4 linked regions of the Oreochromis niloticus genome follow. The protein of the gene in region 3 purifies or fractionates together with the protein of the main gene of each other region. This does not show direct contact. Links are inferred from orthologs where the notes say so. Each region holds a gene or a part of one and is shown on either strand. Other genes may lie near its edges.

Region 1 (7,955 bases), about 13 Mb from region 3:
TGCAGAGCTTATGACATCGAGTTGTGGTATTTTTCATAACAGGGTTTCTGCTTTATCTCATTCATTTGCACAAGAATGCACATGGATGCCAGGATACAGCTTCCACCAGGCAAGCCAGAGCTTAACGAATTAGAAGTGTCATTGCTAACGCAAAGACAGAAACACACAGATCCTCCCAGCCGTTATCATCAATATCACTTATCAATAAAGTGAGTCAGACAGAGGACACAAGTGTTGTTAATGTATTTACCAAACAGTCTGGTGCATCTATTCAAATCAAAGCTCCAAACTACTGAGGTCAAAGGTCACCGATGTACAATGGCATGAAGGCAGCTCAGCAACAATAAACAGTACATTCCCAAACAATTCCTGTGAACACCTCAGCTTATTTCCCCTTCTAGAAAACGCAAGTTGAGTGGGGCTGTGGATTCTACCATCTGTTGGTCCAGTGAGGAGACCTTTCTGTCAGTCCGCCCAGCCGCCCCACTGTTCTACTTGCCTCACATTGGTCTTACAGCGGGAACTGAGCAAAAGGGAGTGCAAGCGTCACACACCCCTGCCCACTTCCCCTCTGTGTCTCTATCCTTCTTCCGCCCATTACTTGTAGATGGCGCTAGAGAGGACATTATGTAAGCCTCCCTATATTCTGCCTGCCCCCTTTTTTCTCCTCCCTGCCTCGCAATACCATCACAGAATGGCGCCTCCTATTGAGTCAGCAGCAGCCTCTACAATATGTCTGCAGTGGGAGAAGGGGAGTGGGGGGGGGGGGGGGGGGTAGGAAGGGAGGAAGGGGAGGGACAGAAGGAGCGAGAGAGAGAAATCAGGGAAGGGGAGGGCGAGTGTGAGAGGATGAGGTGGTGGTGGGTGAGGGAGCAGGGAGAAGGAGGAGGGAGAGTGAGAGGGAGGGTGGGGGAGTGAGTGAGGGTAGAAGGAGTGTGAGGAGAGAGATGAGAGGAAAGCAGAGAGGACAGAGTGAGCGACGGAAATGGAGGGGGGGAAGGGATGGGGAGGCAGGGAGGTTGGACAGACAGGCTCAGAGGGGAGGGTGAGGAAAGGCGGGGAAGAGGCTGAAGGGGGAGAGAGAAAATGGAAGAGGGTGAGAGAGTGGGCAATGGATAGGAGTGAAGGGGGGTAAGAAAAGGAGCAAGAGGAAAAAAGAAACAGGAGAGGCTGAGTAGGAGGGAAGGGAGGGAGAGAAGGAAGAGGAAAGGAAGGAAAGGCAGTAGGAGGCAGCTCTCTGCTCTTCTCAGATCAGGGAGAAGAAAAAGCCCCCCCCCTCCCCAATCATGGTGGTGTAAAAAAAGAAAACATGAGGCCTTTAAGCCTTCAAACCTTCAACCACAGAATTCCTCACTCAGTCCATCACCAGGACACAAAAACCTGTCTCCCAGCTGCTGTTTACACTTCTACATTCAATGTAGGGATGAAGGCAGAAGCTTCTGGTGACATCCATGTCCACTCTGACACCAGAAAAAGTTTGAGATGCTTTCAAGCTTTCAATGCACAGTTGTATCACTGAACTTGATGCTTGCCTGCAGCACTTGCTATTACAGATGTATATGAGGCTGATATTTCCTGATCATAACCTGACTCTTGTCCCAGTCAAGTGACAGCCATCCTCTCAGCGTTACTAGTGCATCACAACCCTCTTCTCACCTGGCTGACCTCTGATCTTCAAATGCAGAAGATCAGAGCTCTGAGGCTTCAAATACAAACCTGCATGATCTCAGGTACGGCTGTAGACATGTAAAATGCACAACCTATACCGGGTCGAAGACAACACTGTGTCCAGTAATACAGCTACACTTTCGACACCAGGAGCCTTCTTCGCATGAAAGACCAGCAAGCCCGGCGGCATGAGCGACGGAGACAAATAAATCGTGCCCTGGGTCCACGCTGGTGTCAGTCATAAACATCTGGCAAAATCCAAATCGATAGATTTGGCAGGGAGATGCTGTCACTGACAAAGAATGGGGACACACCGCGCTAAGTTAGCATGCTAGGCTAGCCAAACTCGCACTAACAACACTGGCTGAAATAATAATAATAATAGTTCCGCCTTTTGTGCCCTTATTTAAACACAAACAACACCTGTCTGCATTTAGTTTTTGTTGGCTGCTATAAACAAACCTACCTACTGGACAAGTAATTCAACTTGAGCTTGCGCCCCTTACAGGGAGTAACAGAACATCGACAGCCAAGTTACCTTAGCTGTAGTTCATCGCCACCCACCGCATCAGCACAGGTAGCTACGGCTAACAGCAAACTCTCTCTGCCTCAGGGTAACGCCGAACATTAAGAGAGACAAGTTTACCTGCGTTCACATCCAGCGCTCCCGTCTCAGTGAAATGTGTCACCTCAGGATGGCTGAGACACTTTGACTTGCTCGGATATCTCCGCCAATATCCTTTAAGGTGACAGCTTGCTTCGGCAGAAGAACTAGTCGCCCGAACGCGAGTCTATCCTCCAAACCCGACTGTCCCTCGCCGAGAAGGGCTATCCTCTTCCCTCCGGTCGGCCAACGGGAGCGAAAAGCCTTGCAGCTTCATTAGACAATTAAAAGCTCCATTCCCTGGAGTGGTGAGGGTGGGCACATGTCTTGTTTTTGAGGAACAACTACCGGCGCAGCTCCTCGTTCAAATAAATCGCATTTAACTCTACCTACGAGTGCCTGTTAGCCGATAACGCTTTGCCCATTCTCTTCTCTGACAGACAATACACATCCAGCCTAGAAACTGCCCTATCCAAAATGGCGCAAATAAAAGGGGCGGAAGTGACATCGACTTGATTAGCATAAATTGTGAGAACCTCGCGAGGCCGGCTCATTAGAAACTCTTGATTGGTCTGTCAATCAATTTAACCAATTAAGCAAATGTCTGTTCAAAGGAAAACCCGTGTCGTCTATCAGACCCTGCGGCAGGATTTTGGTGTCGGTGTCTGACTCTGTGGGGTAAACAACCCAACACAGTATTTGCGGAAACTCACCGATAGCGGGCGTCCTACCGGAGTAGGTTTCCACCGGAGTAGTGCGCACGCGCGTTCTGGCTACATCTGGCGTCCCCCACCCCCACCCCATCCCCTCCCTTGTGGAGGGACGGATGAACACAGTGCCTCAGCACTCAGCTGGAGTGCCATGAACGATTGAGGCAACGTTAGGTGGCGCTGTACTATAGCTGCCCGAGCCTACCGAAGTGGCCGGGACTACTTTCCTGTACAGTGCCAGGAGAAGGGCTGCCCCAAAGAATAGTTCTGTTATCAGCACTCAGTCCAGAGTGTCACTGCATTCACATGGTTAAAGTGAGAGAAAAGTTCTCCATCAGGTCGGGTGGATTTTTGCCCATCCTTCCTTTTCACCCCATCATCGCTGTCACTCACACTCCTGCCACTCTATTGTATTCAGGTTTGCTGTGAAGGGCTATGCAATACAGCAGCTGTTTGCCAGCCTTGCATGTGATATTTAATGTCAAGTGTTGATGTTCAGTCTCCTGACTGGCTGAGGCTGTGAAATGGGTTGTTCATTATGGGCTAGTTTTCAAGGGGCAGAGGCAATATTTTAAGGTGGTTTTCCAGTTAAAGCACATTTATACCATGTAGCATATCAGAGCTGTAGAGGCTTGACCATTAAAGCCTCAGGAGTAGTATGTAACAGCGTAGTGGGGAGAACTATGATATATTGAATGCCCCAAACTCCTGTTTGAAGGCCAGTAATGAACCTTACCATATTACCTTATTACTTACCATATTTCTGGGTAAGCCTCTGGTGAGCCACAACATCTGGCTTCTGTTTTCAGTTTAAATAAGTCGTATTAGAGCTGGGGTTCAGACGTCAGTGAGGTCCAGAATTACTTCTCTTAATATATCGGATTCAAGATAAAGCCCCATGTGCGATCGTCAGTATTGAACCACTCACAGAGTTGTGATCAGTGTACACAGTTATCGATTTTATGCGTGTGAAACCCAAGCAAAGTTTTTAACTAATAAAAAAAGCCTACACTTTAGAAGAGACTTGGTAAAGGTTTTTTCCCCTCTTTAACAGGAACAATTGTATACGGAAATATGGATGATGAGTGTTATGCTTGTAAAACAAAGAAATCAATCCAAAATAATAAAACACAGAATTATTCCTTTACTTGAAATTTAAATAACATAAGGGGAAAAGTTACTCAGTGGCCAAACACCATCTTTGATTAACTCCTCACAAGTTATACATCAGCCTAACCCTCTGAACAGAACACGGTCAGTTACTGTAGGGTGGTCCAGAGTCCAGAACTTAAAGTTTGGATGCAATTACTCCACCTCCCGTTAACTCCGTTGTTCAGGAATTGGTCGCAATTCAGCGGGGGCCCTGCAGAGGGCACTGGCGACATACTCCATAATGAAACAACACTTATGTCCTTGACTTTTTCTTACACTGAAGCTGATTTTGTCCTTATGGTAGCATTCTGCTAATACACGCAGACTTGTCAGCAGACTCCCGTGATAACAGTGGATTCCAAAAGGTTAATGGTGTTGTGATCAAATGCATTTTACAGGAATCTGAAAACCAGTAAAGAATCTATAAATGGAACTTTATCTATTGACTTTTTTTTTTTTTCTTTCAAATATGCAATGAAGAAACGGGAAGAAAAATATTTATTTGTTGAGAATGACAGAGTTAAACTTCCATAAGGGCTGTATGGAGTCACTACTACAACAATCATCAGGAAAAAGCCAATTTACTGAAAGACCTTGGAGGTCAACGTTCTGAGTCCAAAATATCAATAACTAATCATGTTTAATTCAGGCTTTAAACTCCTTAAAGAAAATCAGTAAGAGAAGCTGCCTGCATCCCCAAGGGAAAAAAAATCTCAAGGCCAGTGATAAAAAACAGTTTAATCCTATACAATCAATCATAGGTGGAGCACTTCAGTGTGCACTTTAAGTCATGTGACAGCTTGTTAATGCAGAGTTCAGTCAGCTGTCTGGGCCGGGAATGACGAGACGCTTTGCCAGAAACTGATTAAAGAGGATGATGGGAATGTAAAGCACTATGTTTCTTTTGTATTCTTGAAGGTCTACTGACAGGGACTTCTTTTATATTTACACCTAACAGGGAGAGATGTCTCCCTTGGTATTTGCTGTCGTGCTGCTGTCTGACCACAGGCAAGTGGAGTTTTTTTCCCCTCCTCATTACAATTCTGATAGAACCGTATTAAACACAGTAAGAGGAAGACTATAGGCCTGTGGGTTTTACAAACTGAGTAAATCACTGATCATGTTGTGGCAAAAAGCATGAGCAGTCCCTTGGCGTACGATACAATCTCATTCCCTCCCAGTTTGGACTCTCCATAAACCCGGTCCACAAAGGAAATGGGTACCTGTTGGAAGAACCACAGATTTGTTTTACATGCAGAAATCCATGATTTACTAGTTATGAGAAGAGTTAACATGATTTTAATGTCATAAATAAAAATCAAAGGTAACAGTAAAAGGGTCATTTACTGGATTTTTTTAAAAATAAAACCAGAAAACATTATGCTGCAGGTTCTGTTCAAACACCACAAGAAAATGACCCTCCTGTGCGCCATTTCCTGCCAGGTCTATCCAGGCAGCTGAATCAGAGTATTTGCAGTAGTGTGAACATGTCTGAAGAAGACTCTTCTCTTTTGTTTGCCATTTACAATTAAGGATCTAGTAGCCTAAAGTCCATGGAAAGAGCTCAGACAGCCTCAAATACACCAATTAGCAGTCTACTTTTTAAATGTGGCACTTCAGATTTAAGTATACACTGAATACTTCCTTTAGTTTAAAAGTAGACTTTATTCATATCTAGAAAACTGTCTGTAGGTGGGTTTGACCAGACCCGTTTTACATGTTTAATATAACAAAATAATAACTTCACAAATGTGAAACTGTGTCAAATTGGTAAATATGGATGGCTGAAACTGAACTAAAAGTATTTAAAAAAAAAAAAAGATCTTAACTGAAATAACAATGAAGCTTTCAGAAAAGAAATTACATGAACACTGAGATAATATTTAACTTAACCTAAACTACAGGAAGTGGCTCCATGGTGTAGACATCATGGGTTTGATACCAGAAGGAGGCACAAAGTCAACCTCAAGGAGTGTACAAGTTACTGCACTCCTGAGGGGTGTAATACGAGGCATAAATCAAGTGCTTAGCGAGCTATCTGGAGCTTAAAGCCTGAGGTTTCTGTGTGGCGGAAGTGGATCTCTTTTTACCTGGCTAAATCACCATGGTAACTTATGCTAAACACACAACCTGCTTGGGAGCGGGTTGCGTTCAGGGTTTCGGTTTAAAACTGCCGGAAGTTTTCACAGATTCTATTATTTACGGCATGTTTTAAGTGCAATATAGATCCTGTGCTTGGGTGGCTTCACAGTGTAGCGGTTAACACATTTGTTCAACAGGTGAAAGGTTGAACAAAAGACTCAAATCCCTCTCTCGTTGTGTTAGGAAATAAAACTGCCGAATCACAACGTGCGGCGCTACAAGCTGCAGTGGCTCTTTGTGACAATGGAGGTAGTTATTATGGATATAGAACACATTTCATGTGTGCATGTCATGGGAATGAATTAATGCATGTATTAATCTGGAGTTAAATGTTTTTATATTTGATTCTGATCTACTGCTAACTATTTTACACTAGAATTGCAGCTACAAGAAAACAGAAGTAAACAGCAGCACCGAAGGCTCACTCATCATTAAAATAATTCCCTTAAATTAAAATGTTTATTTTACTGCTCTGTGCACTAAATCCCAAGATTAATGACTTCTACAGCATTAATTATCTGCAACAGTGCTGCAGTTCACTGTTTTATGTTCTTTATAGATTTTAAATTACCAATTTATCATCATCGTCTAATAATGTCTCTCACTGGAGTAGATGTTATTCAAAGGGATCTTTGTAAGCAGAAGAGTCACATGATGTGTCAAACACCTCGTTTTATGTGAGCGTGCTGAAAGCAGTTTTAGATTTTTTTTTCCCCACACTAGTTAACACAATGAAAACTGGCTGTGTTGAACTTGTTTCATAGTACGCCCCTCTGCTGTAGAACTCTGTGCATGCACTTCTATCCACTGTGGAAATCCCTTGGGAAATAATAAATAGCCAAAAGTAATTAACAACAAAAGCACATATAAAATAAAATAAAATAAATAAAGAGGCTTTCTATCACACTTAAAGCATACAAGTAACACAAATAAGTGAGAACACGGTGCTTCCAGCATGTTCAGCAGGAGTACCACAGTCATCTAGCCAGAGAAAAAGAGAGACTGTCATCTGGCTAACCCGCAAATGTCGCTGTATACCTTCTAGCAAGTGTTTGGCTTTTAAGCTACACCTGCTCTAATAGGATATTTAATGCAGATTTTTTGGGGGGGAAATTGCTCCTTTATCCTATATTAAAGTCGCAAACATTCTATGAAATCTATTTCTGTGTGTATATGACCCATATACGCATATTGGTTTTGAAGCTATGTGGTCTGGACACAAACAAAGCTGTGAAATTGCTCTAAAAACTGGTTTTAAATGTGTTAAAGCTTTTTCTGGGAGTTCTTCACTCCTAAAAGTGCTGTAATGAAGCAGAATGCAGTTTGAAAGCTCCTAATAGCAAGCCAAAAACTGTAAAGCATTAAAAAAAAATTAGATACTTATTACCCCTTTTTTAAAAACAAGTCAGCAGCTTCCTGCTCACACAAATCAGACTGATTAAATATGAGAATCAAATGGTTTTCTTGGCCTGCTTTTTCATTTTTCAATTAGCATAAAATCAAGAGGAAAAAAAGCACTCAAAAGAGATGAATGACAAAAATAACACATTTTCTTTTTTCCTCGATTTTAATCCTCAACTAAAAAAATGAAGAGAACGAATGACACACGAATGATTTTTCTCACACTGAACTACCTGAAAATTAAACACATTTAAAAAAAAAAAAAATTATTAAAGCGA
Region 2 (6,921 bases), on a different chromosome or scaffold from region 3:
CTTGCAGAATGGAGTGAACCATGATCTAGAAAGGGAAGGAAGTCCTAGACCTTCCTGTTCAACTATCGGTGACAACAGATATAGTCCACTTACCTACCCCAATATCTCTGAGGTACAGCAACAACAAGACCAGCTTCTTGAGCTCATGCAGGAGACCGCTCAGGAGAGAGACTCTTTAAAAGAACAGGTCCAGAAACTTACCTCACAAGTGAAAGACCTGGAGAAAAAACTGAAGGAGATGGCGCCGGTCAGCGTAAAGAAGGAGTGTTGTCACCAAGCCAGCCAGACAGAAGAAACAGGAGGGCAGAAGGACTACAAAAGTCTGTTCGAAAAGGCCAAACAGAAAGTCAGTGAATTGATTAAAGACAAGGAGGCTTTAATAGCAGAATCTGATACCAAGGCCAATCTGAGTGGCGATAAAAGTGTGGAAAATGATGATGAGATTGCGCTGCAAGTTGACGCTCTAGTCCGGAAACTGGATCAAAGAACGAAGGAGACAGAAGAGCTGCGCTCACGGGTCAGTGACACTGTGTAGAGCTGTCTTTGTTTAAAAAAAATAATAGTAAAAGTGATGACAAACAGCTTTTCTCACATTCAGTTGAACTAATTTGAGCCTTAAACGCCCTGAACTAAACAAGCTTTTGACCTCTGCCTAGCTTATGTTTCTGGTAGCGCTGACGTAGGAACGTGCATGTCACTCCGTCTGTAAACACAAAAAGTTGGAAATGGTCATGTCAAATTTGACCTCTGTAGAGGTCAAATAGATTGATCTGAAGGTCAACATGATAAATGATGGTATACAGAGCTGTTACAACCATGTTTCTTACTGCCATTGTTTGTATTGACAACATACTGTTTAGGTAACATACTTTTCCCTTAAAAGTAAATACTCCTCAGACAGTGAGCTGCCCTGGGGGAGGTTTGCACTTTCTGAGTGCTTCTTGTTAATGCTTTTTTATTTATTTATTTATTTATCTATGTTACATCTGGCAGCAGCTGGCCGATGTTGTCATGTGCCTTAATTGGTGTTCTGATAAAAGCACATGCTATGAGGTATACCTTATATCTACTTCTCAATCCAACTGTATAAGGAAAAATATCCCAAATAGCCCACTGTTATGCACTTTTTTAATATATTTCTCCTTTCGTTTTATTGATATTGACCTTCGTACCTTCCCTCTTCCTCTCCCTCTAATTCTGCACCACCAGCTGGACCTTGTGGAGGAGGACAAGGCAAACCTGGCAGCCCAGTGCGAAGAGCTCCAGTTAAGCTTAGAGCACCAAAGGGAAAAAGCACAAAGTCTTCCAACAACCAGTGAATCTTCAATTCAGACACATCCAGAGGAGGAAGGAGGGGCAGCTGTTTCTGGCACACATTCAAACTCGGATGCATCCAGAAGGTTGGACTGCTGGGAGATCACTCCTCGTGGTTTTGATGTACCCCTCTTTGATAAAGCAATTTGTGAAAGCAGCCTCACTGTTTCTCTCCTTTCTGTTTCCCCTTAGTTTGGTAGAGCTTCGGCAGAACGTCGGGCGCCTTCTTCTCCTCCACGTGCCTGCGCTGGACCTGGCACAAGTGAATTTCGAGTGCAGTGTAATTGATGAGATCCTAGACCAGTTTCTCTCTAATAATAATTCTGACACCCCTGTGTTAATGTTTGGGGCAACAAATGACTAAACAAAAGTCATCACATCGCTCCACCTGTAAATGTTTTGTAAGGAGACCCGTGAGTGGGATATTAACTTAATTTAAGGTGTGTTACAGATGCTTACAAATTTTTATTTTTAGGTTACTCAAACTAGCTTTTTGTTTTTTTTAAGAAACAGAAAGCAAAAGCAGCTGTAGATATTAATTGCTACCAAGTTTCTCAGTAAAATCAAGGAAGTACCAGTTTGTCAGTAGTGTTGCCAGCTATTAATACTTTTGTGTTTGATTTTTCTCTTGTTTTTGTTTTAAATAATATGTTGCACATTTTGTATTATCATGTCTTACCAAATATATTTTTATATTGCCTATTTATATTTGTTGATTACTGCTCTGCGGTGAGGTGTGGTTTGTGGCTTAGCTGCAGGAGAGGGGTGGCCGGCACAGCTGAGGTCCATTACGGTAACCATGACTTCAGTAGCTGTCCGGTCCTGGAAGAGCGGTGGAAGGTTTGGAGAGGAGAGGAAAGCGCACAGCCACACAGGTGTATATTTGTGTGTGTAGGAGCAAAATAAAAATGAGTTTGCCAAAACAACCTGCAAAGGCATCAAGTCCTTATGTCACAAGCTCTATGAGACTTTGGTAGTCTTCTCAAAATCACAACACAAGTCTGCCACAGAAGTCCGTCATCACAAACTTGGGCACGTTGATATTAAATAGAGCGGACATTTGTCATCGCAGCAAGCGTTTCATTATAGTAATGAGGTGTGTGATGTGGGACACAAGGAGCAAGGTCTTCAGACTTGGTTGATTGTTTCAAACTCAAATGTTTTGGCAGCGTAGGTGGCAATCAAGGCATTAACCGTAGGTACCCTGGTTTTACATTTCACTTTTGGGCAATAATTCAAGTTTCACTTTGGTAAAGAGCTCAGTCTGACCAGTGGCAGCAGCATGAACTTCCAGGTCTGAATATACTGATGAATTAAACGGGATCATTTTGTTTTAAAAACATCTGCTTTGTATTTCAAAATATTTTTTGAAGCGACTCTCAGGTGATAAAATAACCAGTGTGGGAGTCGCATTTCCATTTTCCATGACATTTTACAGAAAAAAATGAAAAGCATCAACCACACGGTTTTACATGTTGTACTTTAACCTGCACATCACAGGCTTGAAAAGAATGCTTTTTTCTAAAATGTACTCGATTTTCAACTTTAAGACTCGTGATTTAACTAAAATCCTCATTGCAAAACTGTTAGCTGTTTTATTTTCTTTAAGTTAACTTGACTTAAATGTTTCACAGTTGCAGTGGACTGCTGATAACTGATATTTAAAAATTAAATATTCTGTCAATAACAACCACAGTTATAAAATTATGTTCTACCTATTTTTTAATAAATAATTCTAAATAATGGTCTAATTGCTACCGTTTTTTCCATTGTCATCATGATTTTTACTATGATAATTATGATGTGAAAATCTGATATCATGACTGCCCTTTTTCTTTGAACATTGTCTGTTTTTCTAGTACTTGTACCTGACTATTTTCAAAGGAATTTTTATTAAGCCACTTACAGACCTTTGAATCATTCAAGGCTAATAAAAAATTGACCTTTTTTTTTTTTAAACCAAATTCAACCAGTGTTGTGTCTACACATAATGGAAAACTTAGCAAGGAAACAATTGTAGATTTTATCTTCAGTCAGTTTATTACCAGCACCCTGTCACAAAAACATTTGTTCAGTTAAATCTTTGAAACATCCCAATGATAACAGTTTGGCAGCCATAAAATAGTATTTTTATGAACAAACTTGTCATATTTCAGCATGCTGTGCATTGTGTCCCTAAACCACTTTAAGAAACTGGCCAAGTGAAGATAAAAACAAAAAGTGAGGCCTAAAAACACCGAGTGTTTACAATTACCTGTAAAACACTGTGGAGACTGTAATGGTTTGGGGCTGCATTTCGGTAAGTGGTACTGGAGATTGACAAGATCAATACTGATGGAATTATGAACAGAGACGACTACCATTAGATTTTCATACAACATGCAATATGTAGAAACCATTTGCTTTGCAACGGCTTCGTTTTTCATAATGGCAATGGTTCCACATTCACTGTCAAATCAGTAAAAGCATACCTGGGTAGAAAAGACACACAATGCCATCCTGTCAGTAATTGATTATACCCCCCCTTTGTGAATTATATTTTGTATTTCAATGGGGATGGCCAAAGATCTTTCCGGATTACGTTAGGAAAAAAACCAAAAAGTCAAGACTATCAATTGTCCCCGCCCTATCCGTGTTTTTGTCCAATCACGGCAGACCGGAAGTTTTGAGAGTCTGGTACGCGGGAACTTACCAATTCTGACTGAGCTGGACAACAGAGAAGGTAAATACTGTCATGTACTTCTAGTTATCTTCGTTCAGAGTAATAAACATTTGTAATTCGTCTGCGTTTATAACGGGCATGCTTCTTAGCTAACAGTAGCTTAACTACAAATGTTCGTGAATGGGAATGATGTCCACAGTGTTTAGCCGTAAACCAGTCCAACTAACCTGCCAGTTTAACTGCTAACCTGTTAGCCAGCTGTGCTCTATATGTTAGTGTAGCCAAAAGAGCGGCTTTATCAAACTGTTATCTGTAATCCGTATTTCAGGGTCCATTGTTGTACGTTTTGCTAACTAATGCGTCCATATGAGTTGATTGAAAACGATCTAGGTGGTGAATTTACCGTGTTTTTATCCCTTGAGGTCGGTGCCGAATATAAAAATTGAAAAGAAATGAAGGTGGTAACGCGTGAGATAGCATGGCACAACAAGGAGCCAGTGTACAGTCTGGACTTTCAGCACAGCTCAGATGGACGCATTCATCGACTGGCCACAGCTGGAGTGGACACCACAGTCAGGGTGAGTGGAGACAGCGGTCAGAACATCTGGTCTAACTCCGTAAGAGGTCGACGATTTTTATTTTGTTTTGTTTTTAATTAAATAAAATGTGAAATAAAGAAAAAAAAACAGTGATTTAGTCTATAAATGCAGCAGGAAGAAATGAGTCTCACGGATATAGAAGACGCAGGTATTTGTACCCATCAGTTGTTCTTTCTTCATTAATTGGTCATAAAAACATTTACCTTAAGAATAAGGACACTGAACCAGAGATAATATGGAGAAAAAAAATATTTTGTTAACTTTCTGAACAGTCCCAGTGCAGGTAGACAGAGTACAGTTTGGGCTTTTAAGATAAGATAAGATAAGATGATCTTTATTAGTCCCGCGCGTGGGAAATTTGTTTTGTGATTCCTTCTGACTTTTCTTTTTCCAGGGTGAAATGATTGTACAGCGTATATCTTTAATGACTTAAAAAAAAATAAGAATTTAGTACACAAGTATGAATTTATTCTGGATTTTCTCTAATCCAAACGTGGTCAAAATTAAACGTGGAGGTTCAAATATATACATACACTATATACACCCTTATTAATAAACAGCAAGTTGCACCTGAACAAGATGTTTTTTGTAGCCATTAACAAGCTTCCAGTATCACTCTGGCTGGATATTTCATCATTCTTCTTGGCAGAGTTCATTTAAATTGGTAGGCTTCCTGGTATAGACCTTGCTTTTAAACATAGTCCATACACTTCGATAAGCATTGAGGTCTGGGCTTTGGGATGGCCATTCCAAAAGTTTAATGCTAGCTTTCTAAAACCAGTTATAGATGTGTGTTAGGTGTTCCAACAGAAGAATGATACCAAACTGTTTTACTGCTGATTTGAGGTGAAGTTGAATAATTTGGTGGTAATTGTCCTATAAGATTCCATCTGTTAGGTAGGAGGTTCAAAGGTAAGGTAAAGTTTATCACCATGAGTTTCATCTGATCAGAATGCAAAGAAAACAGCCAAATCATTGATGTCCCTTATGTCTTGGTTTATTTCACTTTAATTAATGTTAACTTAACTTAAAGTAAGAAACACATGGACTGCTAAACTCTAAAAGAGAAAACAAGGTTGGACCTTACATCATTAACTTGAACATAAATGTTTAAACTCAGAAGAACAAATCAAACTCATCTCAGCTGCCGCCCTATGTGGGAGTGAAAAGAGTGAGTGAAAGGGAGTGCAGTCCTTATATAATGTATGCCAGGTGAGTTTAGTTAAGGCACAAAGAAAATCAAGAACCAATCAGTGTTGAGAAAGTCAAGAGTGGAACCGAGGTAATTGTGGTCATGTGAGGGAGAGTGAGGAAAAGAGTAAACAGAATAAGAATCTTTTAGTACACTTTGTGCAATCTACCAGTGCCACTTACAAAACAGCCCCAGAGCATGATGCTGCCACCACCGTGCTTAAAGTTAGTACAGTGTTCTTGGGTTTAAAAGCCTCACCACTACTCCTCCAAACAAACCTCTTTTCATTGTGACCAAAAAGCTCAATCTTTGTCTCGTCTGACCATAAAATTCTTCTCCAGAAGGCCCTCGTTCACGTGGGCATTTCAGTCAAACTTAAAGGTGTCAGTTTTGGAGCATCTTTCTTAGTCAGAATCCTACAATCTACATCTACAATTCTCCTTCTTAGATCTTCACAGAGTTTCTTGGATTTTGAATGACCAGAGTGTATGTACACTTCTGGCCACAACTGTACATTTAAACAAGTGTTTCACTGTGCATTTGTCAGGGTGATTATTGACCTTTTGTCTCTTACAGAGACTTTTTCAGGCCCGCTTTAGCCTTTAGAGAATGCCTCTTTTAAGACCCATGGGATACTGGTTAACACAACAAGTCAAAGATCCTTAGTTTGAGATCCGGAGGAGGCACGAATCCCTGGGAGGGTTGCATCAGGAAAGGCATCCTGTATAACACTCTTTGCCAAATCAGATAAGGAGAACTGCTCACTGTGGTGGCCCCTTGTGACTAACGGAGCAGTCAAAAGTAGTCCTGTTTTTGGTTTTTGGTTTTTCCTTCTCAGACACTGGTGACAGTCTCTAAATCATGATGCACCACCAAGCAATGCAGTGTTTTCATGTTTGCGTACAGCAAGGTTTTAAATTATCGAGGCACGTGACATCCTTAAAGGGATGATTCACCCACAGGATCCACCTAATAGCAGTTATTTAAGTATTAAGATTTTTAATACATTTACCCTTTTTTATAACCTTTATCCTACTAAAATTAATCTGTGGATGGATTATTGTTTGTGAAGTGTTGTATGTTGCACAGCCAATTTACAGAGAATTTTTAATGATCTCTTTTCCTAATGATGTTTTTGCAGCTGTGGCGGGTGG
Region 3 (7,059 bases):
CAATAAAAAAACCATTTCATCCTTGTGGTGTCAGCTGGGTTCTTAAAAAGAAGAGGTACACCGTTTATAGCAAATTAAAAGTTGTGAACCCACAATGGAACACACTCGGTGTTAACACAGCCTGTACCAACTCTGATTTTCAACACTAACATAATCGTATCCTGTAAGCACTAAAAGAATGTGTTAAAATATTTATTTTTTTTTATTTTAAAAGAAGGTAAAGAATACAAAGACAGAATAGTATAAACTCTCCCCAGTAGCATATCACCCATGTCATCTACAGCTTCTCCTCCTGAATGATGGATCCTTTTTAGTAGTCTGGGCCCGTGTGCTCCAATGAGGCTTGGATGGAGATAACACAGTGTCCAAAATTTGTGTGTGTCATTGCTGGACATGGTAAAAATTGAAGGTTGGGAGTTTAGGATGTGAAAAATGTCTGACTCAAGGTTGTCCCTGCAGTGAAGAGGTCCCGTTTTCTCCTGAGGCGATACACTCACGCACTGACAGCATCCTTCTCCTTCTTGTCACTGTCTTCATGCCAGGTGAGACGTTCCTCATAGAAGGCTATGACAATCTGTGGGCACTTATGATTGGCCTCCTTGGCGAGAACGAGATCAGCCTCATCAGAGTCTTTCCTGAAAAGAGAAAGTTTAAAATCACCGCTTGGGTTTGTGTCTTTGCACAACCAAGATATAATATCTCCATTTTCATAACACTTGCAGCATGCAAATTTGGTCCAACTTGTTAAAATGTAGCAAAAGATTTCACACATTACAGTAATTACATGGAGTGCATTTAAATTTAATCTGCTGCAAGTTATTATTAAAATTATAACTTAAAACAATTTAAAAAAAAAAAAAATGGACTGTGCAGGTTTCTGTGATAAATTAAACATTACTACAACTATTATCTGATATTAACCCTTAAATGGGGCTCAACCAAGCATGAGCAACAATGTACTACATTTAATCCCTCAAGATAATATGCAATTACATAAAGCTTTATGGTGTGGTTAAACATAGGCCAGCTAAGCTATAAATGCTGCTAAAGGCAATTTACAAATAGAAATATCAGAGTGTAAGAGCTGTCCTTTAAAAAGAATTATGTCAGTACAGCTGCATATAGTAGAAGAACTGCCTGAATCTGGGGCAAAAGGTCATCTGTATGGTTGTGCATGTAAGAAGATTTCTACCATTAGATGCATTTATTGATCGATTTCACACAAAAACTAAAGGCAAAATTAAATCAAGACTTTCAGAACCTACCACTTCATAAGAAACATGAGGTCTCCACATGAGTCTGTTGCTCCAATGATCTTCTCCGGCTCAAGTCCTCTCTCAAAACCGCGTGCGACAAGAATGTCATCCTGAAAGACCCCAAACAAAATTACTTTAGAAATCTGGATTTTGTATTAAACTCTTGAATTTACACCAGCTGTCTTTAAATGTAAACAGTTTCAGTTTCCACACACTTTAGATATAAATGCGTTGTGCTACCTAAATGTCAAGTAAAAGAAAAGGAAGCTAAATGCGGCACATTTCAAGATATAGACATCCTGCTTCTGCAGCAAAAAATAGTTCTTACCTCTTTTTTCTTCTTGGGCTTACTTCCACCTTCCTCGTCATCGTCAGAGCTCCTCTTCTTTGAGCTGCTGGAATCTTTGGCGCGTCCAGAGGACGCCGTGTTTGATTTGCTGGCCCCACTGCTTGGTGTGGAGGTCCCACCACTGCTTTTCTTGTAGGTCTTCATGAATTCTGCAATAAGCTCAGGGCAATCCAAGTTTTTCTCTGGTTCCCATGTGTTGTGCTTGCTGAGAAAGAGCACAGAGTAGAAAACTCAGTGCAGCCTTAATGCACCAGTTCGGATTGGAAACTGCAAGATATGCTAAAAAATTTGAGATCTTGCAATGTTTAAAACATTGTAATCTAATGGTACTTCCGTGGTCATTACTGTCCTTTAGATGGCAGAGCATCTGTGTCTAAGAGAGCTGTTCTGTTGTGCACTGGGTGCATCTTGTACCCGAGTGTTAGGTTTTAGAAATCTCCAATAACCTACTCCAAAATGTGACCAACTGTTTACAACATTTAATTTTAATAAAGATGCAAAAGAGTTTTGACTATGGAGCTTAGGACCGTGGTGAGTACATTTATTTAATTACTTACTCCGAGTATCCCTTCCACTTTAGGAAGAATTCAACCCTTCCTTTCACCACCCTCCTGTCCAGCACTTTTTCCACAACATATTCTTCCTCATCAGAGGATGAAGACTCTTCTCCGCGAGACTTTTTGCCCATGGTAAAGTTTGGTGCTTAACACAACGCGGTTGCAGGTGACACTTCCCTGTTTAGAAAGAACGGAGAAGCTCACGTTAAAGATATTTGAGTTTTGATCGCTCTCCCACTAGTTCTAGTTAATAAAAACGCATCATTTTAAAAATAATAATAATAATAATAATGGCTACACAGCCACATCACAATCGCAAAGCATCCACAAGTTACAGATCGGTAACACTTTAACATTAGCTAATTAGCCGCCGCTAGCAAGATGGCTATCATATTTCAGCGAGAGGCATAATATCGTCATCGCTTGTTTAATTGCAACATGGAACGTTAAAAAGGCCAACTAAACAGTGCAGCTAAACATCCTGATCGCCATCTACTCGTTAAAACGGTGAAAAGTCGGTCACTGTTACTACTAAAACGTGCAAGTAGCAAGGACGACGGCTACTAGCTGAACGGTGCTAGCAGCAAAGCAAAGGAAAACTTGCTACAGCAGGTAGCCTGCAAGCAACCGCTAAATCGAGCTAAACAACTATGCTATCAAACCATGCGCCCATATCTACAGCACCATGAAACTCGACATTGCAAGAATAGTGTCTTACTCTTCTGGAGGTTCCAACCGTCGATCTGTACCCGTCAAACCCTGTCTTTGTGGACGAGCAGCGAGGCCAACCTTTCAGCTACTTTAACAGCTAGCCTCACACACACACAAAAGGTGCTGTGCGCAAAAAAAAAAAGCGCGCGTTAAAAGCGCACAATAACTGACCCCGCCCCTCGGTCAGCTGATGATCAACAGATAAAGTGGTTGAATGTGCTTCTACCATGTTTTTAAGTTTATTCTGTAACAATTTGGAATATTTTTTGTATTAATACGTGCACACTCTGTATAGAAAATATTTTTTCTTTGATAAGGTGTGTATGTTAATGTGGGAGGTAGGGCTATTGCTGTACAAGGCAGCTGTGCTTCCGCCCACAAATCGAAAACAGAATCATTTACGGTTCGTATGATGTTTAATCTGAAGAAAATGCCCGTCTTCCTTGTGTTTTCCAGGAAAATAACTTACCGAGCTGTGCAGACTGTATGCTTACTGACTTAAAGGCGTTATACACGATAGACACGATACCTTCTTGAAGTTTTCCCTTTCACATACAACAACCATAATCCATTTTTTCATTGTCGTCATTGTACACCAGGTGATTGGACGCTGGTAATGATTGATTCTACATAGCCCAATCAAGATCGAATCACTGCGGACGACAAACTGCAGCGGGAATAGCTGTCCAATTGCTGTGCGACAGGGGCGTTACCGTTGCTATTTATTGTACTGTTGACTAGCAGGCTACACTCGTCTGACGCAGATCTCGGCTCTTCGCTTGTTACACAACACGTCTTCAAGACTAAAGCTGCAACATGTCGAGAGAGAGTGTGAGTACTGGGCTCGGGAGTACTTATCTGTTATTGTATACGTTGTTTTATGTTAGGGAAGGTAGGATATGAAGTTGCTGCATGCTTTTTATTCTTAGTACAGTCTCCGGTTTGGGTCGTAGCTGCAGTAGCTTTCCTGCATTGTAACGCCGCCATTTTATAGCAGCCAGGCCTCGTGGCCTTTTGTTCTTGCAGATGAGCTGCAGTGGAAATTTAGGACTTTAAATCAACATTTACGATGGAAAATTGCGCTTAAATGCTACAGGCATTTAAATCACGACCGACTCTGATCTATAACTACTTCTAAAACTTGACCTATTCGCTGGTCTTCCAGCGGTTTTGCTAACGTTAATGGCGGCGGTGTGTCCCTCCTCCACACGCCCTGAATTTTAATAAGGGGCGCAGGGAAGGATGTATGTACACGGTGAACAGCGTTAATTACTACCCGATTTAAAGTGATTGTGGTATTACATTAAAGCCGACATTGGAGCAGCTAATCAGATGTTATCGCATTGCTTTCTGTTGTATAGGTCCCACGTGAGCCGGAGCAGCTCCGCAAGCTGTTCATCGGAGGCTTGAGCTTCGAGACGACAGACGAAAGCCTGCGTGCTCATTTTGAGCAATGGGGGACCCTTACAGACTGCGTGGTAAGTCGTTTCATTAAGGATGTAGTCTTGTTTGAGCAGTCACGATTTTGCAAGAATGTAGAGCATGTTGGTACCCTGTGTATGAGCTGATCCAAAAGCACTCTTCTTTCAGGTCATGAGGGACCCCAACAGCAAGCGATCCAGGGGTTTTGGCTTTGTAACATATTCATCAGTGCAGGAAGTTGATGCTGCCATGTCAGCCCGTCCCCATAAGGTCGATGGAAGAGTGGTAGAGCCGAAACGAGCGGTTTCCAGGGAGGTGTGTAACAACTGGATGAGGTGCAATTGTTCTTGCATTCAAAAGGCGCATAGTGATTACAATAACAAATATCTTTGATTCCAGGACTCAAACCGGCCAGGAGCCCACATAACTGTGAAAAAGATCTTTGTTGGAGGCATCAAAGAAGATACAGAGGAGTCACACCTGAGGGATTATTTCCAGCAGTTTGGCAAAATAGAAGTCATTGATATCATGACTGACCGCAACACTGGGAAGAAGAGGGGCTTTGCCTTTGTTACGTTTGATGACCACGATTCAGTTGATAGGATTGTCAGTAAGTACAGAAGTTGACTTTTCCCTAGCTGCATGTTTTGTCAGAATTTTGATTGTTGGCTAGCTTGTTTACAAAAAATCGCTTTCCACAGTCCAGAAATACCACACTATCAACTCTCACAACTGTGAGGTGAGGAAGGCCCTCACAAAGCAGGAAATGCAGAGTGCGGGAATGGGTATGGGAATGAGAGGAGGTCGCAACACTGGTGGCAGGCCCTACGATTACGACAGGGGCTTCAATCAAGGTATGGCTTATTTTGTTGATGGTGGAGTGATTGATTGTTATACTATGTGATAGCAAACCTTGTGTTTATCCTATTTAGGTGGCAGAGGGCGATATGGAGATGGTCCTTACAATTGCAACGGAAGTGATGGTGGTGAGCATGGTTTTGTTGTGTCTTCCTATTTTCTTTGCTTTTTTTTTTTTAAACTCTACAGTATATTTTAAGGCTGTCTTATATATTTAGGCTATGGAGGCGGACCTGGTGGTCCTGGTGGCTATAATGGAGGTAACCGTGGTTACAACCAGGGCTACAACCAGGGTGGTGGATATGGAGGAAATGGTTATGACAGCAATGGTTATGGTAAGATAATGCCATTTCACTGCCTTTTACTAGAACTAGAACTTGCTCGAGGTTGACCAATGTTATAAACTCTGTAATCGCAGGCAATTGTGGTGGTGGTGGAGGCGGCGGTGGCGGCAATAACTACAACAACATGGGCCACTACGACCCCCAGGCCTCTAACTTTGGCCCCATGAAGGGCAACTTTGGTGGCGGCGGCGGCGGCAGGAACTTTGGTATGAGTTCCCAGACTTCACAAGTAAATGCGTTTATTGTACGCTGGCCTCGTGTAGGTTTATACTTTGTTTTTTGCTTCCAGGTGGATACGGAGGCTCAAACAACAGTGGCTATGGACGTCCAGGACGATTTTAAAATGAGAAAGTGGTAAGAGCTTGAGAGCATGCCTTAAGAGTCTTTTAATGTAAAACAACAGCTTGTGGTGAGCAGGGAATCATTGAGTGCAGATAACCTTTAAACAAATTCACTCTGGATGTCAGGTCACAAAGTCAGTGCACAGTTAACAATGTTGTTCCGTATTGTTCAACAGGACTGAGTACTTAGGAGAGGAGAGCAAGGAGAGGAGAGCAAGCGAAGTGACAGGGCAACTGCAGGTTTACCTCCTAAATCTGCTCAGCCTATGAGTTGTGGCAGGTTACAGCTGCTGCAAGAAGAGATGTACAGTAGATAAATCATGGAGGGCCTTCATTTAAACATTTTGTGTTATGTTTTTCTCTTTTTTTTCGTCAATTGTGTTAATGGAAAGCAAGCATTCCAATGAGGTTTTGTGTAGATCTTTAAGTCTGGTTTTTATTTGTAACTGCATCAAATCAAGCTGAAATAAACACCTTTCAGTTTTTTTAACAGTCTCGTTAGCCTTTTCAGTGGTTTTGGGAAAGGGAGGGTTTACTATTAGGTGAAAATGGGTCGAGCCATATACATCACAAGGTGGCCGGGGAAAGTCAATATCCGTGTCTCCTACATGCTGCCTCAGGTCAGCGCATATGCAATACTGGTTAAGGGGCGGGCAAAGAAATGGTGCGCAAATGCCATCATCAGAAAGCCCATCACTTTGGTACAAGCTCTGCCCTGATTTCTGCAAAGATCACCTGGAGAATGCTAGCTTACATGCAAAGTCTATGAGGCTAGCCATGGAAGCAAGCTGAGGGAGAGAAGTAGCAAAACCATCGCCAGGATCATTGAAGCAGGGGAGAGTGAGAACAGAGGCCTGAGTCTAGCAGGCAGCAGCTACCAAAAGGCTTAAGTGCTGTTTGTAGGTAAGACCAGACTTCTCAACTACTGATGGTATATCTTGCATTTTGTCATGTAGCTGGTAGTGAGATATGTAGCCCAGTAATAATTAAGTTTTATGACCATTCTACTTTTTGACTTAATTTGGCCTCCAATTGTGCATTGAGGCCCAACATACTGCATGCTATGAAATGAGCAAATATTTTATATTTTTGGGTTATTGTTTTATTTATAGTATTTCTCCTTTGTAGGTAACTACATGGACCCCAAAACCTGGCTTCATTTCTGTGACAATGGTTTTTGACAGGTAAAAATCATTACTTGTTTGTATTTTTAGTTTTTTT
Region 4 (7,639 bases), on a different chromosome or scaffold from region 3:
ATGAAATGTGACATAACACTGTGTGTTTTGATTTGCTCAGGCAAAAACATCAGTACTTCATGACTTGTTGTGGTTGAGCACACATGGTTAAATAAACAGCAGTTAATCAGCTTGTGGTTAAAAAAAGAAAAGAAAAATGAGGGGGAACATGGCAAACCACACATTCAGCTAAACACTCAAACATTATTAAAAGTGAATAATAACACCAGAATATTACCACAATAAGCTTTCTTTTTTTTTTTTTTTAATTGTGTTATACATACATTCACCGGCCACTTTATTAGATACACTTTGTTACTATCAGGTTGGACCCCCACTTCAGAACTGTATTAATTCTCCATGGCATAGATTCAACAAGTTGCTGGAAATATTCCTCAGAGATTTTGGTCCACATTGACATAAAAGCATCACACAGTTGCTGCAAATTTAATAACTTCGCATCCACATCCCACAGGTGGTCTATCAACTGAGATCTGGTAAACTCATTGTCAAGTTCAAGAAACCAGCTGGAGATGATTTGACCTGTGTGACATGGTGCGCTACCCTGCTAGAACCAAACCTGAGATGATGTTTACACTCTGGTAGGGCTGCCACAAACGATTATTTTGATAGTCGACTAGTCACCAATTATTTTTGCGATTAGTCGACTAATCAGATCATCCATCCACTGGACGTAAAATGTACAGCTTATTGCACCAGCATGTGTCTGCTCTTATATAACTATCATTAGCTTACAGCTTGAAGTGTTTAAGGTATGTGCTAACTAAAAATAAAGACAAGATGATAGTTTATTACACTTTTAATGAAATTTGCAGATTGTTTCAGTGAAGTTTAATAAACTCAGCCGTCTGCTCCTTGCTATCTAAAATATAACAGGACACCGGAGTATATTCTCGAGCATCTCACACTTCTGATAATCAGTTATCTGCTTGACGTTTATTCATCTGTGCAAAAACTACAACTTTATTTCTCAGCCAAACCAATTTACTCAGGAACAAATAAAATACTAGAAAAAAAAGCCAAACAATAACATTTTTAAGTTATCTAAGTGACTTATATTACATGTTTAACCTGAGTGGCGAAAGACAGCGGTGAGTTTGAAAACGATTTGCCGGGAGTCCGGTGTTCTCACCGGCTCTAATGAGCCTTGAACCCCGGCTCGCTATGGAGCTGGTGGGTAACAGACGTCTCCGAAAACGTCGGAGCGCTTTTGAAAATATGTGGTGTCTTGATAGACTGAGCAGATATTTGAGGTTTACACAGCTACATTCTCACCTGAAAATATGTTAAACGTTTATTTTGTGACCCAGAAAGAATAATAAGAGTAATATTAAAACTAACTAGCTGCCGCTATTGTTGACAACTGCGCTGGGCCGAGCTATGAATTCTGGGACACATTCTTCTTCTTCGGGGTTTAACGGCAGCTGACATCCTTGTACATGCAGTGCTGCCATCTTCTGTTTCAGTCCGTTATTACACTCTTAAATACTACTACTTATTCCTGCGTCTTTTGGGATCTTACAAAGCTTCAAACGACGCGTCGACTATTAAATTAGTCGTCGACGATTTTAATAGTCGACGTAATCGTGACTAGTCGACTAATCGTGGCAGCCCTACACTCTGGTCATAAAGGGATGGACGTGGCGAGCAATTCTCAGGTAGGTTGTGATGTTTAAACGGTGCTCAGTTGGTACTAAAGGGCCTTAAGTGTGTAAGAAAATATCCCCCACACTATTACACTTCCACCACATTCTTTCATGTTGTTTACCTTAAATTATAATACTACTAACAAAATGTTGCAGCAGAAACCAAACCAGAATCGGACAATAGAAGATTAGCCGATTCTGGTGAGCCTGTGCACAATGTAGCCTCAGTTTCCTGTTCTTAACTGCCACTCCGCTGTGGTCTTCTGCTGCACCTTTGTTCCTCATTCTAATGCTAAGTTTGAACAGGTCCTCTTGACCAGATCTACATGAGGAAATGCCTCAAGTTGATGCCATGTGATTAGATGTATTTGTTTTTAGTGAACGGGTGTACCTAAAAAAGTGGTCAATAGGCATATATCATTATGCATCTGACGTAAATGCCTCTCAGAGTGTGTCAGACTGCAGAATATTGCAGATACATTGCCCACGTTGTTATCCTGGCCAGTGTACCATGATGACAGTATGTTAAGTGACTTCAAACCCTGGAAAAAGTATTATTCAGTAAATAAACACTCTCCAAAAGGAAACTACATTAAATGTTGCTGTAAAAGAAAAAAAAGCACTTGGCAGACCAATTGCTGCCAAACATGATCAAAAGAAAATGTACTTCCTACATGTTTAAACTCACATGCATTTCCTATTTTGCATCAGCCACCATCGACAGATCTTATCAAGTTAAATGAATTATAAATCAGTTTCTGTGTGGACTCTCATAAGGCTAAATGATGAAATGCAAACTCAGAAATATATATAAAACTCAGTGTTGTGACTGTAACAGTACCGACTTGCAGCTAACCATAAGCGACCGACACTGCCAGTTCAGAAAGCAACACTCCAGCTTTCTTTTGTCACTGAAGCTGATGTTTGTGATGCACAGATAGCGCACATGCTGCTCCCAATCCAAACAACCAACCTTTATTATGGTTGTAACACAGCACATTGTAACCTCGGAGGTCACCGTGCAGACCTCGTGTTTATTTATGTTTATTTTCTCTGCCTGAACACAACAGAAAGTTGACATCTGATTAGCTCTCGGCTACAGCTAGCAACGTTATGCTATGGCTTACCCATGATGCTAGAAACACGCAGGAAAGCTAAAGCTTACCCCAGGCCACAGCCGCTCGCAAGTGCAACGCACAGTATCAGGAAACTGGAAACCTACTTTCCCACGGACGTGTACATCTGCACCTTACAGTCACAGAAAGCACACATTTTCCACAGTCCGATAGTGTACTCAACGGGCGCTGCAATATTCCTTAGGAACATCCGGTGAAACCCGGAAGTGCATCCAGAGTAAAACAAGAGCGTGAAGAGCAGCGCCGGGCTGAGACTGCCTGTAATTAATTCATAACTAGATGTACAGCAAAAGCTGCAAGTACTAGCTTTGTTTTAGGATTAATAATGAATTCGCATTTAAATGTAAACAAATTGTGTCATGATTTAATGACCAATAATTATAAAAATAATTTACTAGTCAAACAAATACATATGTTTTAAAGGGGATATATTAAGCTAATAATAACAATAACAATAACAATAACAATAATAATAATAATAATAACATTTTAAGATTTTTTTTTATCACAAACTGTATTAAGATTACAAGGCATTTACGATTTACTTTTTACTTTGTTCGCTGTTTTCTCTTTCCTGTTAAATACTAGACTTGATTTCCCGTCCTCTATTTTAGTAGAAATGTGGTCAAAACTTAGGTTCCTTAAAAGACACTATACAAATTTCAGTTACTATTATTATGAAGTCTTTCTCTCTTTTTTACCCATCCCCTACAACTCACCATTAGTTATGAGATGTAGCATACCACAGTTACAATAACACAATAAACGCTACATCATGCTCATCAATTAAAGGGAAACTTGGCAGCTATTGTCTAGTATTTAAAGGATAAATCTAGTTTTGAAATTAAAAAAAAAAAAATTAAAACAGTTGAAGAATTGCATTTACATTTATCTTTTTATGAGTAGCTCCTATTGTCATATGTTATTCTACAATTCACTCAAGCGTTATGACAGATGTATGATCATTTCATTATTTTTTCATAAAATAAGCAGGTACATCTGTGCAATGACAATAAAGTTTTACTGTCTTCTAAAAGGTCTAGAGTTGATTCCAAGTGTAGTATTTACATCTGTTAGTTGTTTATGTGAATCCACAATGTGTGCACATTAAGTGCAAGTTAAACAGTCAGTCAATAAGATGAAAGCCAAAACAGATCCATCACATTTATTTAACTTTAGGAATATTAGGACATTAGCAGTGGCTAAGTCAACAGCATCTGGAACAAAGAAAAACTAGAAATTTTTTGAAAGTATTGAAGTACAACATTATGGTGTTTTAGAGGCAGACAGTCAATTTCAACTCAGTTGAGGTGCATTTCCCATGGTGAAGACAACTAACGAACAAAAAACAACTGAAAACTGTTGCAGTAACGCACTGGTAAACATGAGAAATAAGAAAAAAAACATTCTTTGCCAATGCAAAGACTTGGGTGTACAGTAGGTGTGGTCTTCTACATCAGCAAAAGACCACATTGGGTGCAATTCCTGTCAGCTAAAAAAAAAGGCAACAGAGGAAACAATTTCCATGAGATCCACAAAGTTTGACAAAGGGTGACTGGAAAACATTGCCTGGTTTTACAATTCCCTCCTTGGTGCTAACTGAATATTGTTTATTGTTGAGTATTGTTGCTGACCGTGTTCTGACCATGACTCCGGTGTGTACAATGAATCTTCTGATAAAACACCAGAGTCACAAAGTTCAAATCATCTGAAACTGGTTTACTGGCTTGACAGTGAGTTCACTGTACTCAAATGGCCTCAGAGTCATGAGATCGTAATCTAACAGAGGACCTTTGGGATGTGGTGGAATAGAAAAATTCCCATCATGAATATTCAGCCAGCAAATGTGCAACAACTATGTTATGCTATCACATCAAATGGACCAAAAAATGTTGAATCTGTGCTCTGAAGGAAAAAGGAGGTCCAACTTGGTACTAGCACAGAATACCTATCAAGGTGGCTGGTAGGTGTCAATAAAGAAATTAAAACAACCAAAACTGCCAACAGTTGTGTAGATCCCCAGCAAAATACTCATCTCGTACTCATACTCTCAACTCATGTGATGTTGCCGGTAGATTAGTCTCATTTCAGCAAATCTTGCAATTGATTTTATTGGATTTGGGTCTGGGAAAACTGATGGCTGTTGCCTTGGGCTCTTCTTCCAATTGGAAATATGGAAACATGGAGACGAATTTCAAGATGCAAAGTATCCCAGCAGAACAATAACTAACTTATAGTTTAATTGGTCTGCTACTCCAGCACCCACAGGACCCAAAATTCATATACGTAAAAACATATAATACCATCCACTTTTACAGTCTTTTTTTGTTACACTGCATCTATAAGGGGCAATAAACATACCAATGTTAGACCAGCAATAATACAGCTGTAAGTTTTACAACAGTTTCAGCACATGTGGTGCTTGAACTTAATTATCTACCTATCTATCAAATTTTTTTCCACAAAAAGATTTTTTACAAAATCTCTCTGTATAAATCTGCACAAACAGCAGAGGTGCAAGAGCAGAAAAATCCATGATGTAGTTATTAACAACTCACTCAACAATAAGTCACTCATGCTTTCTCATCAACATGGCTGTCATGGGACACTAGTGTTCCCTGAATGGAGCTAATAATGCTGCCATTTCTATCCTGTGCTTTTCCAGCTGGAAAAGTCAAAAGCTCCAGCACGAAAAAAAAAAAATTAGGGGTTAAACTCAGATTTTCACTTCATCATTATTCCATTCATCCATTCACTTTCTTTCACTTATCCGGGGGGAACACCAAGCCATTCCCAGGCCAGCCGAGAGATATAATTTCTCCGGTGTGTCCTGGGTCTGCCCCAGGGCCTCCTCCCAGTAGGACATACCCAGAACACCTCAGGCATGAGGCGCCCAGGTGGCATCCCTGTCAGAACCAATTCAAGTGGCTCCTTTCGATGTGAAGGAGTAGAGGCTCTACTCTGAGCCCCTCCTGAATGGCCCAACTCCTCACCCTATCTCTAAGGGAGAGCCCAACCAACATTTGGAGAAAGCTCATTTACGCTGCTTGTATCTGCAATCTAGTGCTAGGTGAGGGTAGGGATGTAGATCCACCGGAAAATTAAGTGCATCGCTTTTATGGTGAACTCTCTCTTCACCACAATGGACCAGTATAGCGTCCACAACACTGCAGCCATAGCAGCAAACGGTCTGTGAATCTCCCGCTTCCCTCACTCGCGAACAAGACCACAAAATACTTAACCTCCTCCACTTGGAACAGTTACTCGCCCCAAAACTGTAGTGGGCACTCCACCTTTTTCCAGCTAAGGATTACGGCCTCCGACTTGGAGGGGCTGATTCTCATTCCTGCCGCTTCACACTTGCGAACCGCTCCAGTGCAAGCTGGAGGCCATCACCTGATGAATCCAACAGAACCACATCATCTGCGAAAAGAAGAGATGAGATTCTAAGACTACCCAAGTGGAAGTCTTCCGCCACTTGGCTATGCCTAGAAATTCTGTCTATAAAAATTATGAACAGAATCGGTGACAAAGGGTAGCCCTGGCAGAGTCCCACTTATTACCGGCTATGTGGTCCAAACTCTTGCAGCAGTTGTATAAGGATCGAATGGCCCATAGCAATGGACTTGATGGATAAGTCATCCCCCTCATCCTCAGACTCTACTTCCTCCACGGAAGATGCGGCCCTGGGATTAAGGTGATCCTCTAAATATCTCTTCCACAACCTGAAAATATCCTCAGTCGAAGTCAGCAGTGCTCTACCTGCACTATACACAGTGCAGGTAGAGCACTGCTTCCCCTCCTGAGTTGCCTGACAGTTTTGCCAGAAACTCTTGGAGACAGTCCGAAAACCTCTCCAAGCTCCTCCCACACCTGAGTTTTTGCTTCAGCCACAGCCTTGAGCAATAATTGAAATAAAAAATAAATATATTTTCAAAAATGTAAAAATCACAGAGCAAAATTGTTTCTGAAAGCTGTAAAAAATTAAAAATTAAAAAAAAACAATGCCATTCGTCAGATTCATCCTGAACTCTCTAACTCAGTGAAAGAACAGTCACTCACTCATTTATTACTAAAAATAAAATAATTGAAGATTTCATTTTTAACATAGATATTTTCATTTTTCACAATTATTGTGAATGCATGTTTACTGGTACACTCTTATTCCTTATAAAAGAAAATATGACCACAAGAGCATTTTTATAATTTATTGATGTAACAGCAGAAACATCAGGCCAGCTCAGCCCCTGGAAAGAGGTTGGTGAGCCGGCCTTCAAACACTGCAGCAGATAAAACTTAGATTTTACTTACAGAGAACATGTTGACCTACCACTCACACTTGATAAAATATCCATTCCTTTTTTTTTTTAACAGATTTTGGTTAATGTTATTATAGTGATATTTTTTATTAGCTACGCCAGTACTTCATGGTGTGGCAAGTCAAAATGTCTCCAGTAAAAGAAATTTGACCACTGGGTACAACATGGACAGTGCTGGAATAATGTTTCTTGTTTGTTTGATGTTTGCTTTTGTGTAAAAAAAAAAAAATAACAATGTAGATCTTCTCACATAAATTGTTTAGTGTATAAAATGAATGAGTACTCCAAAAAAAATGAAATGAAATAAATCACAGATTATTTATTTCCGTTGACTTGTCCATGGTCCTAGTGTCCAGCGTAGTCTTTAACATCAGGAGCCACATTTCTGCACGGCTGTCTCTGATGACGTCCCCGGCCCTGCTGCTTCTAAGACGCCTTCATCAGATCCTGGGCTCAGTGATGCAGTCGAGGCTTTTTCTCTCAACCCCTGCCCCGCTCTCTTTCCAGCTAAGATGAGAAGAGAAGCCTGAACCACTAA

Evidence for each region.
Region 1: the proteins of cbx5 (region 3) and adnpb purify together in Homo sapiens (affinity purification with mass spectrometry; 4 studies listed by BioGRID and IntAct, with this or other methods). This does not show direct contact. The link is inferred for Oreochromis niloticus from reciprocal best matches to the Homo sapiens genes CBX5 and ADNP.
Region 2: the proteins of cbx5 (region 3) and chaf1b purify together in Homo sapiens (affinity purification with mass spectrometry; 8 studies listed by BioGRID and IntAct, with this or other methods). This does not show direct contact. The link is inferred for Oreochromis niloticus from reciprocal best matches to the Homo sapiens genes CBX5 and CHAF1B.
Region 4: the proteins of cbx5 (region 3) and sentrin-specific protease 7 purify together in Homo sapiens (affinity purification with mass spectrometry; 3 studies listed by BioGRID and IntAct, with this or other methods). This does not show direct contact. The link is inferred for Oreochromis niloticus from reciprocal best matches to the Homo sapiens genes CBX5 and SENP7.

Annotation. Positions count from the first base shown.
Region 1 is NC_031984.2:31,725,111-31,733,065, reverse strand, and holds the start of adnpb (activity-dependent neuroprotector homeobox b), read right to left. Parts: upstream 3,007-7,955; 5' UTR 2,986-3,006; intron 2,822-2,985; exon of another isoform or gene 2,315-2,821; intron 1-2,314. Other genes in the region: dpm1 (dolichol-phosphate mannosyltransferase subunit 1), read right to left, coding at 5,253-5,357.
Region 2 is NC_031987.2:18,700,936-18,707,856, forward strand, and holds the start of chaf1b (chromatin assembly factor 1 subunit B), read left to right. Parts: upstream 1-3,906; 5' UTR 3,907-4,036; intron 4,037-4,398; 5' UTR 4,399-4,428; coding exon 4,429-4,554; intron 4,555-6,908; coding exon 6,909-6,921. Other genes in the region: morc3a (MORC family CW-type zinc finger protein 3a), read left to right, coding at 1-517, 1,210-1,400, 1,507-1,678. UniProt on the Homo sapiens protein: Acts as a component of the histone chaperone complex chromatin assembly factor 1 (CAF-1), which assembles histone octamers onto DNA during replication and repair.
Region 3 is NC_031984.2:19,129,776-19,136,834, reverse strand, and holds the start of cbx5 (chromobox protein homolog 5), read right to left. Parts: upstream 3,003-7,059; 5' UTR 2,881-3,002; intron 2,340-2,880; 5' UTR 2,294-2,339; coding exon 2,163-2,293; intron 1,811-2,162; coding exon 1,585-1,810; intron 1,367-1,584; coding exon 1,266-1,366; intron 636-1,265; coding exon 494-635; 3' UTR 1-493. Other genes in the region: hnrnpa1b (heterogeneous nuclear ribonucleoprotein A1), read left to right, coding at 3,690-3,704, 4,235-4,351, 4,464-4,610, 4,695-4,905, 4,997-5,149, 5,228-5,281, 5,372-5,488, 5,572-5,703 and 1 more. UniProt on the Homo sapiens protein: Component of heterochromatin that recognizes and binds histone H3 tails methylated at 'Lys-9' (H3K9me), leading to epigenetic repression. In contrast, it is excluded from chromatin when 'Tyr-41' of histone H3 is phosphorylated (H3Y41ph).
Region 4 is NC_031987.2:22,406,293-22,413,931, forward strand, and holds the start of sentrin-specific protease 7, read right to left. Parts: upstream 3,008-7,639; 5' UTR 2,973-3,007; coding exon 2,869-2,972; exon of another isoform or gene 2,812-2,868; intron 2,793-2,811; exon of another isoform or gene 2,774-2,792; intron 1-2,773. UniProt on the Homo sapiens protein: Protease that acts as a positive regulator of the cGAS-STING pathway by catalyzing desumoylation of CGAS. Desumoylation of CGAS promotes DNA-binding activity of CGAS, subsequent oligomerization and activation.